Arabidopsis thaliana: one gene and its partners. The protein of the gene in region 1 interacts with the protein of each later gene in a pairwise test. Each region holds a gene or a part of one and is shown in the gene's direction. Other genes may lie near its edges.

Region 1 (5,127 bases):
TGTATATATATTGTCTATCGATAAGTTTAGCAATATTTACTTTTTGTCGGAATCGCGGACTAGGAAAAATCACATGTCGGCAAAAACGAGAACACGATGACCAGTGTGGTGGGTTGGTAATTTGGTATATTTGGTTGGTCCATGATATCGGTTGAATCTATTTAGAATTTGCAAAAATAGTTCCGATATGACTACTGATATGAATTTACCCCCGGACATTAATTAGTAACGACATAATATTCAAACGTATATGGTACTTTTTGATATATAAAATTAGGGCTCAGTATAGTCAACATAGAAGATCCGTTATTCGTATTTCATAGGCTAACTTCTTCTTTTCCTACCATATGACGTAGTTATTCACGCTTTAGGCCTTTTTCTTCATTTTTGTTCTTTTGTCTCTCTTTAATCAGTGTTAGGGGTCATGGTGACCGTTCCTAAAGTATCGTATAATTATAAGGTGCACTTTTTGGTATATAGAACTTATTAACCTTATACATTTCCATCTCGTGAAGTCATTCGTTTTCCCAATATTTTTTTATTTTCTTTTCCTCTTGAATATTTCAGCTATCGGGTCTTACACAAATGGGAACTAAACTTTAAACTACAACTTTACATCTTAAACAATAACATATTTCCGGTAAAAAGAAGACAATAAACAAAATTTTCTTCAAAGTTTTGTTATCTCTTCTAATGTCTTAAAAGTTGAAAGTGGTTACTCTAATAAAAAGCAGTTTTGTCTTACTCATACTGACGTGGAGGAACATTGTTACACCCCCTTCAAAATAGTCAAGAAAAAGTTTAGAATATTGAACGAAAGGAAAAATAAAAGAATTAGCTAGGACCGAGTTTCTATGACCTAGAACTAAAACTCCCGTTACATACTTATATCAAAGAAACGAGCTAGAAAAAACATTAGAGAAATGTAAAATATATCTCTCTCTTTTTGGTTAACCAAGGTTTACTAATCCGATATACAAGAATGACATGCAAATAAACATAGGGTTAAGTTGTAAAGTAGTCAGATATTTAAACTTAATTATGGAATTGGGCAAATTACTATTTATAATTGGATTTTTAGTCACTAACCTTTGACCCTATTACAGACAAAATCAAATATACCCCATACCAACTCTATTATTTACAAATATGCCACTAATCTTCTTCTTCTCCAATGTCGTTGAAAGCAATTGGGATTTGTGCTTTTAGATTCAACATTTCTCTCTCCTCATACTCACATTCTTTGTATTTCTTTATATATATATATATATATATATATATATATATATATATATATATATATATTTATTTATTTTTTAATAACCTCTTCAATCTAATAATTGAAATGCTTATCAATGTAAATTTATTTTCTAAATTAATTCAGATACATAAAAATCTATATTTTTTCTCTATAATTTGATATGCATTTTGTTAATAATTTTAAATATATTATATAAACATTTTTATTAGTAGTCAGTACAGTTAATTATGTGTACAGATTTTTATTTATACAACTTATTTAATAAGTACAAATTGAAATCGTCCAGCCATAATTGGAAAAATAGTCATTTTACTATTCACAATTTGCAAAGTAGTCACTTTTAACTGTTTGATTCGTACACTTAGATCTGTACAACATTTTTTAGTGTACAGATGTAAGTGTACGTTGTGTATATTTATATATATATATATACACTAAAAATATTGTACAGGTCTAAGTGTACGAATCAACAGTGAAAAGTGACTACTGATAATTGTATACTCCATACAATTATATACTCTGTACAGCTAATGCAACGTACAAAATAAAGTCTGTACACATAATTAAGTGTACCGACTACTGATAAAATGTCTGTAATATATTAAAAATATTAACAAAATGCATATCAAATTATAAAGAAAAATACATAGATTTTTATGTATATGAATTAGTTTAGAAAATAAATTTATATTGATAAGTATTTCAATTATTAAATTGGAGGGGTTATTAAAAAGAAATAAAAAAAAAAAGAATATTTCACTTTTATCTTTCTTCTCTGTCAAAAGGATAGTTCGGTAATTTCAAAACACATCACTTACCCCACCCCAAACTTCTATTTCACGCTCGTCTATTACACGCCCAAAGTGAGTTACATGTTTTGTCAAGTGTAAATAGTAACTTGCCCAACTCCATAATTATGTTTTCAAAAGTGACTAATTTGCCAACACACCTATAAACATATCGTTTTACAAAACGAAACGACGTCTTATGAAATTAAAAAATAGAAAAATAAGTTTTGATTAATTATAGGTGATAGTATTATTGAATCATTGATGTGTGAAGTGTGAACAAGTCTAACTTTAGAGACCAGGTAGGTCCACTTTCTTTTTGAATTTTGGGAACTCTTAAGACAAGCAATGTCTTTATCCGCTTTCGGTGTGTCGAGTTATTTTTTCTTCTGAATATTAACGGCACTGACTATTATAATACTGTTTGTTTATTCTACAGAAAAATTCATCAACATATTTTAAGCTATGATTAAATTTGCCTCACAAAGTTTCGCAACCTTTGTGCTATAAATATCATTCACCCCACAACCATTCAACACTCTACCAACCTTCTCTTCTTCTCTCCGATCTTAATCACTCTCCTAATCAATACTCACTAATAACTTTTTTTTTTTTTTGGTCTTGTATAGCTAATAAGTCAGAGAACCCTTTTCCTCAGTCAGACTCTTTGACCCGCAGCAATTAGCTCTTCCACCAACTGCTCTTCGTTATTTCTGAATTGTACCTTAAGTTTGTTTCTATTTTTTTTCTTAGGTGTTAGATATATTTTTAAAAAGAGAATTTTGGATAATTCGTTTTTTTTTTTGTAAACATACAATCTCTTTCAGACAATGATATTGTCACAAAAAGGATGCAATCAAAGTGAGTTGCAACTTATTTTCAAAAACAAATTGAATGTCGAAAAAAGTTTATATTTTTAGATTTTCCAAATAGTCAATAGATATTTAGTTAAATATTAGCTTTCGACAACTCTCTTGTGTCGCAAGCTACAAGTGTGAATTTTGCAAATGGGGAGTTCATGTTTGCCTCCAGGATTTAGATTTCATCCAACTGATGAAGAGCTCATAGGCTACTACTTGAGTAGAAAAATAGAAGGTCTCGAGATTGAGCTTGAAGTCATTCCTGTTATCGACTTATACAAATTTGATCCTTGGGAGTTGCCAGGTAATTTGAAAAGGAAAACAATTAGATTTTTATCCATAAATTTATATTTAAATAAAACTAAATTTGTTTGATTTTATCTTTGAATTTTAGGTAAATCTTTCCTTCCAAATAGAGATTTGGAATGGTTCTTTTTCTGTCCAAGAGACAAAAAATATGCAAACGGTTCTCGAACCAATAGGGCTACAAAAGCGGGTTATTGGAAAGCAACTGGTAAAGACCGGAAAATCACTTGTAAATCATCGCATGTTATAGCTGGATACCGAAAAACCTTAGTTTTCTATGAAGGTCGTGCCCCATTAGGCGACAGAACTAATTGGTTTATGCATGAATATCGTCTATGCGATATTGATGATCATTCACAAAAATCACCAAATTTCAAGGTAAGAAAATTAGAGTTCGTTTCATTTGATCCAACTTCATAATATTCATTTTTATGAACTAATGGAACGAAGCCTAAAAACCATATATATGTTTGAATTTTAGGGAGCTTTTGCGTTATGTCGCGTAGTTAAGAAGAATGAACTGAAGAAAAATTCGAAAAGTTTGAAAAATAAAAACGAACAAGACATTGGTTCTTGTTACTCTAGCCTCGCGACCTCTCCTTGTCGCGATGAAGCGTCGCAGATTCAATCGTTCAAGCCTTCTTCTACTACAAACGACTCTTCAAGCATTTGGATTTCTCCTGATTTCATCCTTGATTCGTCAAAGGTACCTACATCTATTATCTAAACCAAAATAGTTTTTGTATAGACAGTAGTGGTCTGATATGTGTTTTTGGTTTTGTGATTTTAAATATAGGATTATCCTCAGATTAAGGAGGTTGCTTCTGAGTGCTTTCCCAACTACCATTTTCCGGTCACCACGGCAAACCACCACGTGGAATTTCCGGTGAGCTCTTGTTATTTCAATGTGGACCAGGACATTGATCAGTCGATGCAAACCGGTTATTGGACAAATTATGAAAATGACCAAACCGGTTCATTTGACTACTCAAACCTTTTTTAGCTACAAGAAATGTTGGTTCGTTCTTAGGACAAAAACGCCTTTTAACGTTGGTGTCTTGGAACTTGGAAGAAGAAGAAGAACTAGTTGTGAACGTCTATCATTTTCTTTTGAGAATTTAATTATCTTACTCTTGGTTTTTATTTTAGTTTTATATATATTGTTTGCTAATATAAGGAATGAGTATAATAAATTCCTTATTTAAAGTTTTTTCGTATGAAGATTTACGTTATTATAGAGTCTTATTTTAATGTTCCGATACCTTTGATATGATATATGCAAAGAGAATCAATCATGTTCTTCTCAATCATTAATTGGACCAAACTTATATTATATAAAGCAACTTATGTAGAAGTCATAACAATCATTTGCATTAAAAATCCAATATTTTGTCTATAAAAGCAATAGTTTCGGGACCATTTTGACATTTCAAAAGTTTATGTAAACAAAATTCCATAAATATGCAGAGATTAAAATCAAAAACTATGTGACGCAGCAATTTGTTTACAGATGTATGAAAATCCCAAAAGCTTGCATTTCTCAATTGTTAGAGACCTTTCAAACAAAATTCTTTTTTCCATGAGCTTTCTACATTTCATTCTTTTAAAATTTATAAGAATATTTCTTCCTCTTGAAAATGATCTACGAAATACTTTTGATATATAGTCTATATGATTTACAAAATGTGAACAATATCAAATTGGGTCCATAGCTCAGTGATAGAGCAATTGACTGCAGATCAATAGGTCACCGGTTCGAACCCGGTTGGGCCCTTCCTTTTTTTGTTTTTTCTTTTTTTTCTGTTTTTCACTTTACAATTAAATTCCGGAAATTCAAATTGCCGGACCAGAAATAACCGGCCTTAAACATTACGACTGTATCTTTCTCCTTGTATTGTTTGTCTTAACCAGA
Region 2 (4,442 bases), on another chromosome or scaffold:
TCGCATTACCATCCTTCAAGAACAAGAAAGTTGGCATCGCCTTTACCTCTAGTTGACTTGCCACTTCCTGACCAATCCAACATAGTAAAAAACAAAGAAAAACCATTAATCATCTACCAATTTAGCAACTGTTTAAATCTTTTACTCTTGATGGTTAAACACTTCTCTTCAACAAAGAAGCCAAAGTAGAAAGACATATCAAGTAGAGAGACACATAAGTAGTTTTACCTTAACTTCATCAACATCAACTATTAGAAACAGAGCATCCTTATAGTTAAACGCAAGCTCTTCGAAGAAGGAGTTCATAAACACAGAAGGAATACACCATAATGCAGTGAAATGAGCCACAATCTGCAAAAAACCATAAAGGAACAACCGTTCTTGGTAATTCATATAAACAAACAAGACAGAGCCATTCATTCACAATCCTGAACATTAATATTCATGGTTCATTCTCACTAACTTCATATCTTAAAGAGTAACACAATTTGGATTTAACCAATTGTAAATCAAATTCTCCATAAAACTCTAATCCTAAGATCTTGATTCTTTCATAGGTCTTGGATCTAAATCAGATTTCATTTTGGCTACTAGAAAACGAAAGTGATAAGAGGAAGAGAGACTTACGGGACAATTCTGATTCTTGGCTTGACTCACATAGAAATTCCATGACTCTGCAGAATCGATTTTAACAACTCTTGCCATCTCTTGGAGCTTCCTTTTTTTCTAAATCTCAAACAAGATTTGGTGATTCAGTGTTTATCTACTTGCATGATGGGACCGAGTGGACAAAAACTATGTCTGAGTCATACACAAAAAGTGTGGCCAGTTATCTTTCAACGAGTTACGAAATAATTTATTAATTTCTAAGATATTTAAGAATAAGTGTTGACCAAGAAAGCTATATTAAAAAGAGAACCAAAAAGAAAATAGATATTTTTTTTATGACTATATGCAATGTTAATGTTTAGAGGAATTTCATTGGTGGTTTCTAAATATAAGTTTCTTAACATTAAAACAACAAAAATAATATTATTTAATTATGTGGGTTTCTTAAATATTTAGAAATTCTCTCCAAAATTTCTTATATAAAGTATTTTGGAGATGGTTTCTTCATTAATCAAAAAACCCACACATTTTTTTATAATAAAACTTATCTCTCTAAAATAAGAAACTTAAGTTTAGAAACCATTGATGGGGTTTGAATCCCCTTACAAGTCAGAATAATAAGGGGATTGAATTAACTTACATACTGCAGAAAGACCAAATCCTTCAAAATGTAAATATTAGGTTTACACAATGATGCAATCACCTATTTAAAAATTTACATCATTGGTGGTCTAACATTTTTTTTTTTTTTTAATAAGCATTAAGACTAAAAACTCAAGATCTCTTACTCAAGACTAATAATTCTGGAACATGAATCTCTTTCTATGTCTCATGTCCAGAATCTAAAATCTTTTTTTTTTTGTCTCTTCCATAACGCACCTCAGAAGTTGAAATCTTTCTTTTTCTTCTCTTCCTTGCCATGCATTTTCCTCTTCCTACTATTCTGCTACACATGCTCGACGACCATGTCACTCAAGTCCACTGGCTTATTGCGCTATTTCTCCTCTTCTCTTGCCTCCTCATACTGTAAAACATTTCCCATAGCATCCAGCTCTTCTGGCTGTAAACTGAAATCCACTCTATCTGTCTTTTGCCCTCTCAGCAAATCAACCCTTTTGGTTCCCGTCTTGTCCTGAGTACCAGTCTTAATAACGTATGTGTGTGTAGTTCTCAGCAATGTTCCAGGAGCAACAACACTCTCTCCCTTTTCTTCAAGTACCTGGTATAGAGCCCTATCAGGTTCCTTTCTCTGTTCCTTACGAAGTTCAATTGCATCCGGTGTCTCAATACCAGTAGGAGTGCTTGACAGAGATTTTGACACGTCCATTGCATCTACATCGGCCTGAGATGCTTTGTTCTTCTTCTTCCGCTTCCGTCTGCGGCGGCGACGGTCGATCTCACGAGATTTCTTGGGAAGGACGCTATCAACGTGTGCGACGATTGAATGAGCGGTCATATTCGGGTGTTGTTGTGAAAAGAGAGATCTAACATTTATTTGTAAGAGATAAAATATAGGGAAATAAAATTGGTCAATATAGCTAATTTCCAAATTTTTAAGGAAGGAAATCGGAAATCTAAACGTCATGCAAAAAAAGAGGAAAAACAATAAATAATTTTATACGTTTTCCAATAATTTTTTGATTATTTATTTTTGGAAAACAGAGAGACACTTTGTTCAATATATATAAACCCTAAGAACGAAGTGGTGAAGGCAGCAAAGCAAAAATCTCAATTTCAACCTCTTAAGTCTCTCCAAAGTCCCATAAACCCTAAAACAATGTCGAGACGTTTCAATCCGTTAGAAGATCCGCCGAGTGCTTCTTCAAGCGACGAAGAAGGTAAAGAAATCGCACGAAACTCTTCTTCGGATGATGAAGATGACGTTTCCTCTGAAAACCCATCACCTTTGAAGACGACTCTCGACGCCGTTTCCGATTCCGAATCTGGTTCGGATGAAGAAACCGATTCAGACTCTGAACTCGAGAAGAAGAAAGATCAAGTTGTGACGAATCCTGTGGATGTGAAGAGGGCTAAGAAGGTGAAAACCTCCGAGAAATCTGGGGCTAAACGTTCTCTTGAAGTGGATGAAGCAGCAGTGTCTATGGATGTGAAGAGGGCTAAGAAGGTTTCAGGGGAAGAGGAGAAGAAGAAGAGTGGTGGCGGAGGAGAAGAGACGAAGAAAACTTATTTCCAGCGACTTTGGACTGAAGATGATGAGATTGTGGTTTTACAAGGTCTGATTGATGACAAAAAAGATACAGGGGTAAGTAATACGAATAAGGTTTATGAGTTGGTGAAAAAATCTATTAGTTTTGATGTTAGTAAGAATCAGCTTATGGAAAAGCTTAGGGCTTTAAAGAAGAAGTATGAGAACAATCTTGGTAAAGCCAAGGATGGTGTTGAACCTACTTTCGTCAAACCTCATGATCGCAAGGCTTTTGAATTGTCTAAGTTAGTTTGGGGAGGTATTAGAATGGCTCTTGCATCTGGTATGAAATCTAATGAGAAGTCGAAGAAGAGTAGTAAGTTTGAGTCTGTGAAGCATGAACTTGATTCTTCTTTGCCCAACAGTAAAAACAACTGTGAAGATGAGGTGATGGATGAAGGAGAAGTCTCTTTTACAAAGTCTTCTCTTGTTAGATCGATAGTGGGTCTTGGCATGGATGAACTTACTGCTCAACAAGGATTGAGTAAGCTTGCCTCAAAGGATATGAAGAGATTTTACGAGCAGTGGAAAGCGATGCAGGCTAGGGAATTTGAGTTCTTTTTGCAGAAGCATGGTTTTCTTTTTGAAGTGCTATCAAAGATATCTGAAGCATTTGGATCAAACGCTTAGATATATTTATGGTTTTTGTTTTTTTGGTTCTGCCTCTTTTGTTTAGAACTCTTGGCTTTTTTATATTATATTTTAGTTTTCTATTGATTCTTGAAAGAGTTTATTTTGGAATATTGCGGATTTATCAAAATGGAAGGAAGCTTTTTTGAAGCAATTTAAGTTTATTTACAGATGAAACATTTTGTGTATCTTGATGAAGAAGACGTGTTATGCGCGGCTTCTATTTGCTAGATTTTCTTGTTGCGCATTCTCTTTGTCTTCTTTTTTAGCAGCAATTGCTGAAACATAATATGCTGAAGTCACCACTCCATGTCCTAGACAAAATATGCCTCCAATAAGAAAAAACCAACGATGTGGCAAGCTGCAGAGTCGATTCGTTCTCGAGTTGGCTAATGTTCCTATCATTAGCGTTGAGTAGCTGACAACAAAAAAGATCCTAAGACAAACAAAGGTATGTCAAAAACAAAAACAGCTGACATAATTCAAATTTGTCTTTTGAATGAAATCCAAAAACCTATTATCTTTTCCATTACCAGGAGAGAACAAGGAAAGCCACAGCGAGTATCTTGTTCGCCGTTGCTCTTTTGAAATCTTGCTTAGAGCGAATGTAAGTGCAGCCTCCAAGCACATTAGCTAGGACATGGACAATAAACAGAAGCACCATTGCAGCTACTCCCTCAGCAAATGCTCCATCGCTGGGGCTTCTTCGACATCCAGAACCTGAATGTCTTGAATGTTGTTGATGATGATGATGAGGTGCCTGAAGGATAAACATCAAATACAAGAAAAGATTATTGGTAGTTAAAATAAAATAAACTACATTTCACTCTTAATATAAAACAGAACCTTGCTTTGAGCAATCTCGGCTTCGATCCCGAGGACTGTAGCTGTAATGTCTGCACATATGATCACAACAGAAACCAAGAACCCAAGTTCACTTTCCATTTTTCCTTGATTCATAATAAAAACCTTATATTTTTATTTGATTACTGTATTT
Region 3 (4,263 bases), on another chromosome or scaffold:
AACAAAAGGTAAAAACATAAAACAAAACAGAGTAAAAGAAAAAATGGCAAGTCATGGATCATCTTGTGGAGCATGCAAGTTTCTAAGGAGGAAATGCAACCGCGACTGCGTCTTCTCGCCTTACTTCAGCTACGAACAAGCCTCTTCCCATTTCGCAGCGGTTCACAAAGTCTTCGGCGCAAGTAATGTCTCTAAACATTTGCTTCATTTGCCTCAACATCAAAGAAACATCGCTGCTATCACCATCTCCTACGAGGCTCTCTCTCGCATGCGTGATCCTGTTTATGGCTGCGTTGCTCACATCTTCGCTCTTCATCAACAGGTCTCTTAAAGTTTTGAACGATATTCTTTTATTCTTGTTGAGATTTTAGACCATTTCAAGCAGTCTGATCACGTTGCTTGGTGGGTTTATTTTTTTAGGTTGTGACTTTGCAAGAAGAGATTGAGTTTCTCGGGTCACAGATGAAGAATTTTTCATACTCTAATCAAAACGGATCACAACTTAACAACATACCGGAGTTTGTGAATCAGATGACTATGGCCACGACCAATTTCGTCGACGAGAGTGTTTTGAACAATGCCGACGGAAGAAACTGCTATGATGGGTTCTTCACGAACTCAGAGGAAATGCTCGTGAATCATCAATGGCTCCAGAACATGGATTATTATTACTAAGCACAACAAAATTCGACGCGAACTAAAAACGATGGATCTATATATAATAGTTGTGGAGCATGGTTTTGTTGTTATGATAAATCTGATTTATGTTTTGTATATCAGTCTTGTTATTTACATTCGCGTTATTTATCATATGCAATTTGGTAAGGATTAAGCATATCTTAACCCTCCAATTAAAGTTGGATTTCTAAAACAATGTCTTTAGTTTTTCATTTGAGGGGTCTCTGTAAAATTGATTGTGTACCATTCGGTTAAATTCTAATTAATGTAATATTATACTATATAAAATGCTATTATAAATTAATAAAGAGAATTAAATTGGTATATAGTATAACTATGAACTGTCTTTCCGTCATAAAAAACAAAATATATTTAATTTTCTTAATTATTAAGATCATATAATTTATCATAAAAGATATTTCATCATTTTGAACAATTAATCTATGTATAATAAACATGTAATCTATATATTACAAAAATATTCAATTTTCTAAATTATTTTGATCTTGGGAATTCTTGGATCTTTCTTAGTTATTGTTGGGCTTGAAATATCTATATAAATCCAATATCAAAGTCTAAAAGTTTCTTAGGAGCCCAATGGCCCATCTGAATCGTAAACCATTGCAAGCCCAAAAGCCTCTTATGTAAGTGGGTTTTTCTTCTATCCGAGAAATGATGTGATAATGTCTTCAATTATTGAAAAGGTCTTGGCGTCTTGTTACGACACCAAAAAAATAATAAAAAAATTGATGCAACAATCTCAACAAAATTACGAAAACGAAGTTCATGTTTTAGCGGTTTATCACATTCTTCGTATAATAATCAAAAAATATATTTTTGCGTTCTAATTAAGTCACTTTGGTTTGGATATTTTGTAGTTTGTACTCCAATCTCGTTTTGTTTATTTCTCTCGTACTGTCTTAAAACCCGTAATATGGCGACAATGATAGGTAGAAAGAATCTCTTGACATATGAGTCCTTCAATTAACGTCTTGATAAAAATAATCTAAATTCCAGGCAAATATCTCTACTTTTCATCCGTATAATAATTGTAAATAAATCACACGATAAATTATTGTCAGTATCCCACGGCTCCATTGTCTAATTAGCTAAATCAATATAATTAATCATAAATCAATTGTTGGGCCCCTGTACCTCACAGCCACATACATCCGATGATTCCGATGATATATGGTGTATATTTTAGACTCCATAAAATTGTTATAAAGATTTCAAATTAAACCATAGTTTTTGTCATATTATTAGCTACGTGTTATTAGAAAATATCGACTCTGACTTATTAATTTTGTAGACTCGTGGAAAACTTAAGTTGCGTCTGGCATTAATTTAACTATTATCAAATCAAAAGCTCACACCAACTAATTATTAATATCTAAACATTTAACATGTATAGAGTGAAGACATACGAGTAACTAAAGTAAAAGAGAACTTTCCCCATCAAAGCCTCTCCCTATTTACTCATGGTTCTCCACGTTGCTTTCTCACATTCAATGCTTTAACCATATAGTCATATACACACACACACACACATACCTCTATCTATATGCGTCTCTCTTTATATAAGTCTACGTGCGTCTAAATCTACATACTTCACTACTCCCACATAAATAAACACAAAAAAAACACTCACCTTAACTTCTTCTACTGCATAGAAAAATCTTACATATGATGGATAGAGGAGAATGCTTGATGTCGATGAAGCTTAGACCGATGGTGACGAGGCCATCTTCGGATGGGACTTTATTTTGGCCGTTTAGGGAAGAGAGAGCGTTTGCGTCAGCTGAGGAGTATGGCGGCGGAGGTGGTTGCATGTGGCCACCGAGGTCTTACTCATGCAGCTTTTGCGGGAGAGAGTTCAAGTCGGCGCAAGCACTAGGCGGTCATATGAACGTTCATCGAAGAGACCGAGCTCGACTCAAACAACAATCATTATCACCTTCATCAACTGACCAAGCCACACCTCCTGAATGTGATCGTCAACAACAAGTTCTTGATGTGGGATCAAAGGTTCTTGTTCAAGAAGAAACAAGAAAGCCTAACGGAACCAAGAGGGAGATAAGTGATGTTTGTAATAACAACGTTTTAGAAAGTTCTATGAAAAGATATGAACATGACAATGGTGAAGTCAAGACTGACTTATCGGTCGGTCTACTGAGTACTGAGTTTGATCCTCGGAAGAAGCAACTAATCAACGGATCATCTTCGTCATGGAAGAGGGCAAAGACGGATGTGTCAAGATTTCCAATGATGTTAGGGTTGGTCATTGGAATTTCCGAGATCAACGGCCATCATGAGGAGTTGGATCTTGAGCTAAGGCTAGGAGCTGATCCGCCTAAGGTTAACTAGCTTAAGTAATTAAAAAGTAATAATAGTTAATGTGATTGCCAAAAAGAAGAAGTTAAACTGTCTCTAATCTCAAGAGTGAAAAGTGAGTAGGTTCTGTAGTGTTGGCTTTGATATAGTAATATATTTATCTTATGGATAAAGTCAACACGTATAGTCTTTGCTCTAATTCATAAGACAATTAAAATATTTTGATTGTTTCTTTTTCTTACGAATGATGTAACTTTCTCACGATTTGGTTTTCAATATTTATGCCTATTCGAAAGATTTTTGATTGGAGTTGCCGTAATAATTTTGAAAAGGTCTGGTGATTGGAGTGTCTTGGTGATGACAAACTTAAATTAACACTAAATAATTGGTAGGCAAAAAAAAAAATAAAAAAATATTATCGTTGATGAAAATTAGTCTGGTATTCCATGTGAACTCCTAATAACCGTAAGAGAAATTAGAGACGAATTATCATAATCTTACGATGCAATTTAAGAATAAGAAGAAATAAGTATAAATTATATATAACCTAACTGAAATCTTGATAACTGATGTATATAGCCTATAATTGGGTGGTGACAAATAAAAGAAGCCTATAGTTGGGTATTTGGGTTTTACTTGTAAATAGCCGTAACGTAATCAATGTTTACTATAAGCTCCAATCTAAATTAACATTTTTACATATATTGCTGTATCAGTGGTTGGCACATGAAAGACAGTATATAATCATTGTGTTTTATATGTTTGGAAATAGTAGGAACTTCAAAAATTACTTTTCTAACTAGTTGGCTTCGAAATTTTATAAATCAATAAAACTGTATCTGGAAACAAATACTGAACAGTGATAAATATATTTTTTCATTATTTCTCTTGGTAAACAGGAAAATGGACTATCAAAGTATTAATGATCGAATTAAATAGAAATGTAATGAGCATATGCAGGAACAGATGATTATTGTTTGTTCACACCAACTTGCATATATATATTATATATATGAACATACTATTACAGATGTTACATGTATATATATACATATTCTGTTGTGACTGTGGGACTAGTACCAACTAAGAGGAGAAGGGTAAAATCTAAGTGAAGGAAGTGAGAGTGGTCTTTTAAGTTTTCACAATTTACACCTCCTAATATAAACATACGCTAACGTTTGTATAGAAGAGAGAAATGGAATAAATTTATATATGTCATTTAAGGAAAGAAAGAGAAAGAAAGAATGAAAC

What was found. Proteins that work in one complex are often made in the same cells at the same time.
Region 2: the proteins of NAC071 (region 1) and AT1G11510 interact in a two-hybrid assay, tested with the Arabidopsis thaliana proteins (one large-scale study listed by BioGRID).
Region 3: the proteins of NAC071 (region 1) and RBE interact in a two-hybrid assay, tested with the Arabidopsis thaliana proteins (one large-scale study listed by BioGRID).

The regions. Positions count from the first base shown.
Region 1 is NC_003075.7:9,977,968-9,983,094, reverse strand, and holds NAC071 (NAC domain containing protein 71), read left to right. Parts: upstream 1-2,539; 5' UTR 2,540-3,056; coding exon 3,057-3,213; intron 3,214-3,303; coding exon 3,304-3,593; intron 3,594-3,696; coding exon 3,697-3,921; intron 3,922-4,011; coding exon 4,012-4,218; coding exon of another isoform or gene 4,219-4,245; 3' UTR 4,246-4,392; downstream 4,393-5,127. UniProt on the Arabidopsis thaliana protein: Transcription factor involved in tissue reunion of wounded inflorescence stems. Required for the division of pith cells in the reunion process, which is dependent on polar-transported auxin and the wound-inducible hormones ethylene and jasmonate.
Region 2 is NC_003070.9:3,870,781-3,875,222, reverse strand, and holds AT1G11510 (DNA-binding storekeeper protein-related transcriptional regulator), read left to right. Parts: upstream 1-2,293; 5' UTR 2,294-2,386; coding exon 2,387-3,445; 3' UTR 3,446-3,500; downstream 3,501-4,442. Other genes in the region: CXXS1 (C-terminal cysteine residue is changed to a serine 1), read right to left, coding at 1-67, 229-351, 628-705; AT1G11520 (pliceosome associated protein-like protein), read right to left, coding at 1,604-2,194; AT1G11500 (transmembrane protein, putative (DUF1218)), read right to left, coding at 3,653-3,881, 3,979-4,205, 4,292-4,405.
Region 3 is NC_003076.8:1,827,208-1,831,470, reverse strand, and holds RBE (C2H2 and C2HC zinc fingers superfamily protein), read left to right. Parts: upstream 1-2,284; 5' UTR 2,285-2,364; coding exon 2,365-3,045; 3' UTR 3,046-3,321; downstream 3,322-4,263. Other genes in the region: LBD33 (LOB domain-containing protein 33), read left to right, coding at 44-322, 421-675. UniProt on the Arabidopsis thaliana protein: Probable transcriptional regulator essential for petal development. Required for the early development of the organ primordia of the second whorl. Acts downstream of AP1 and PTL.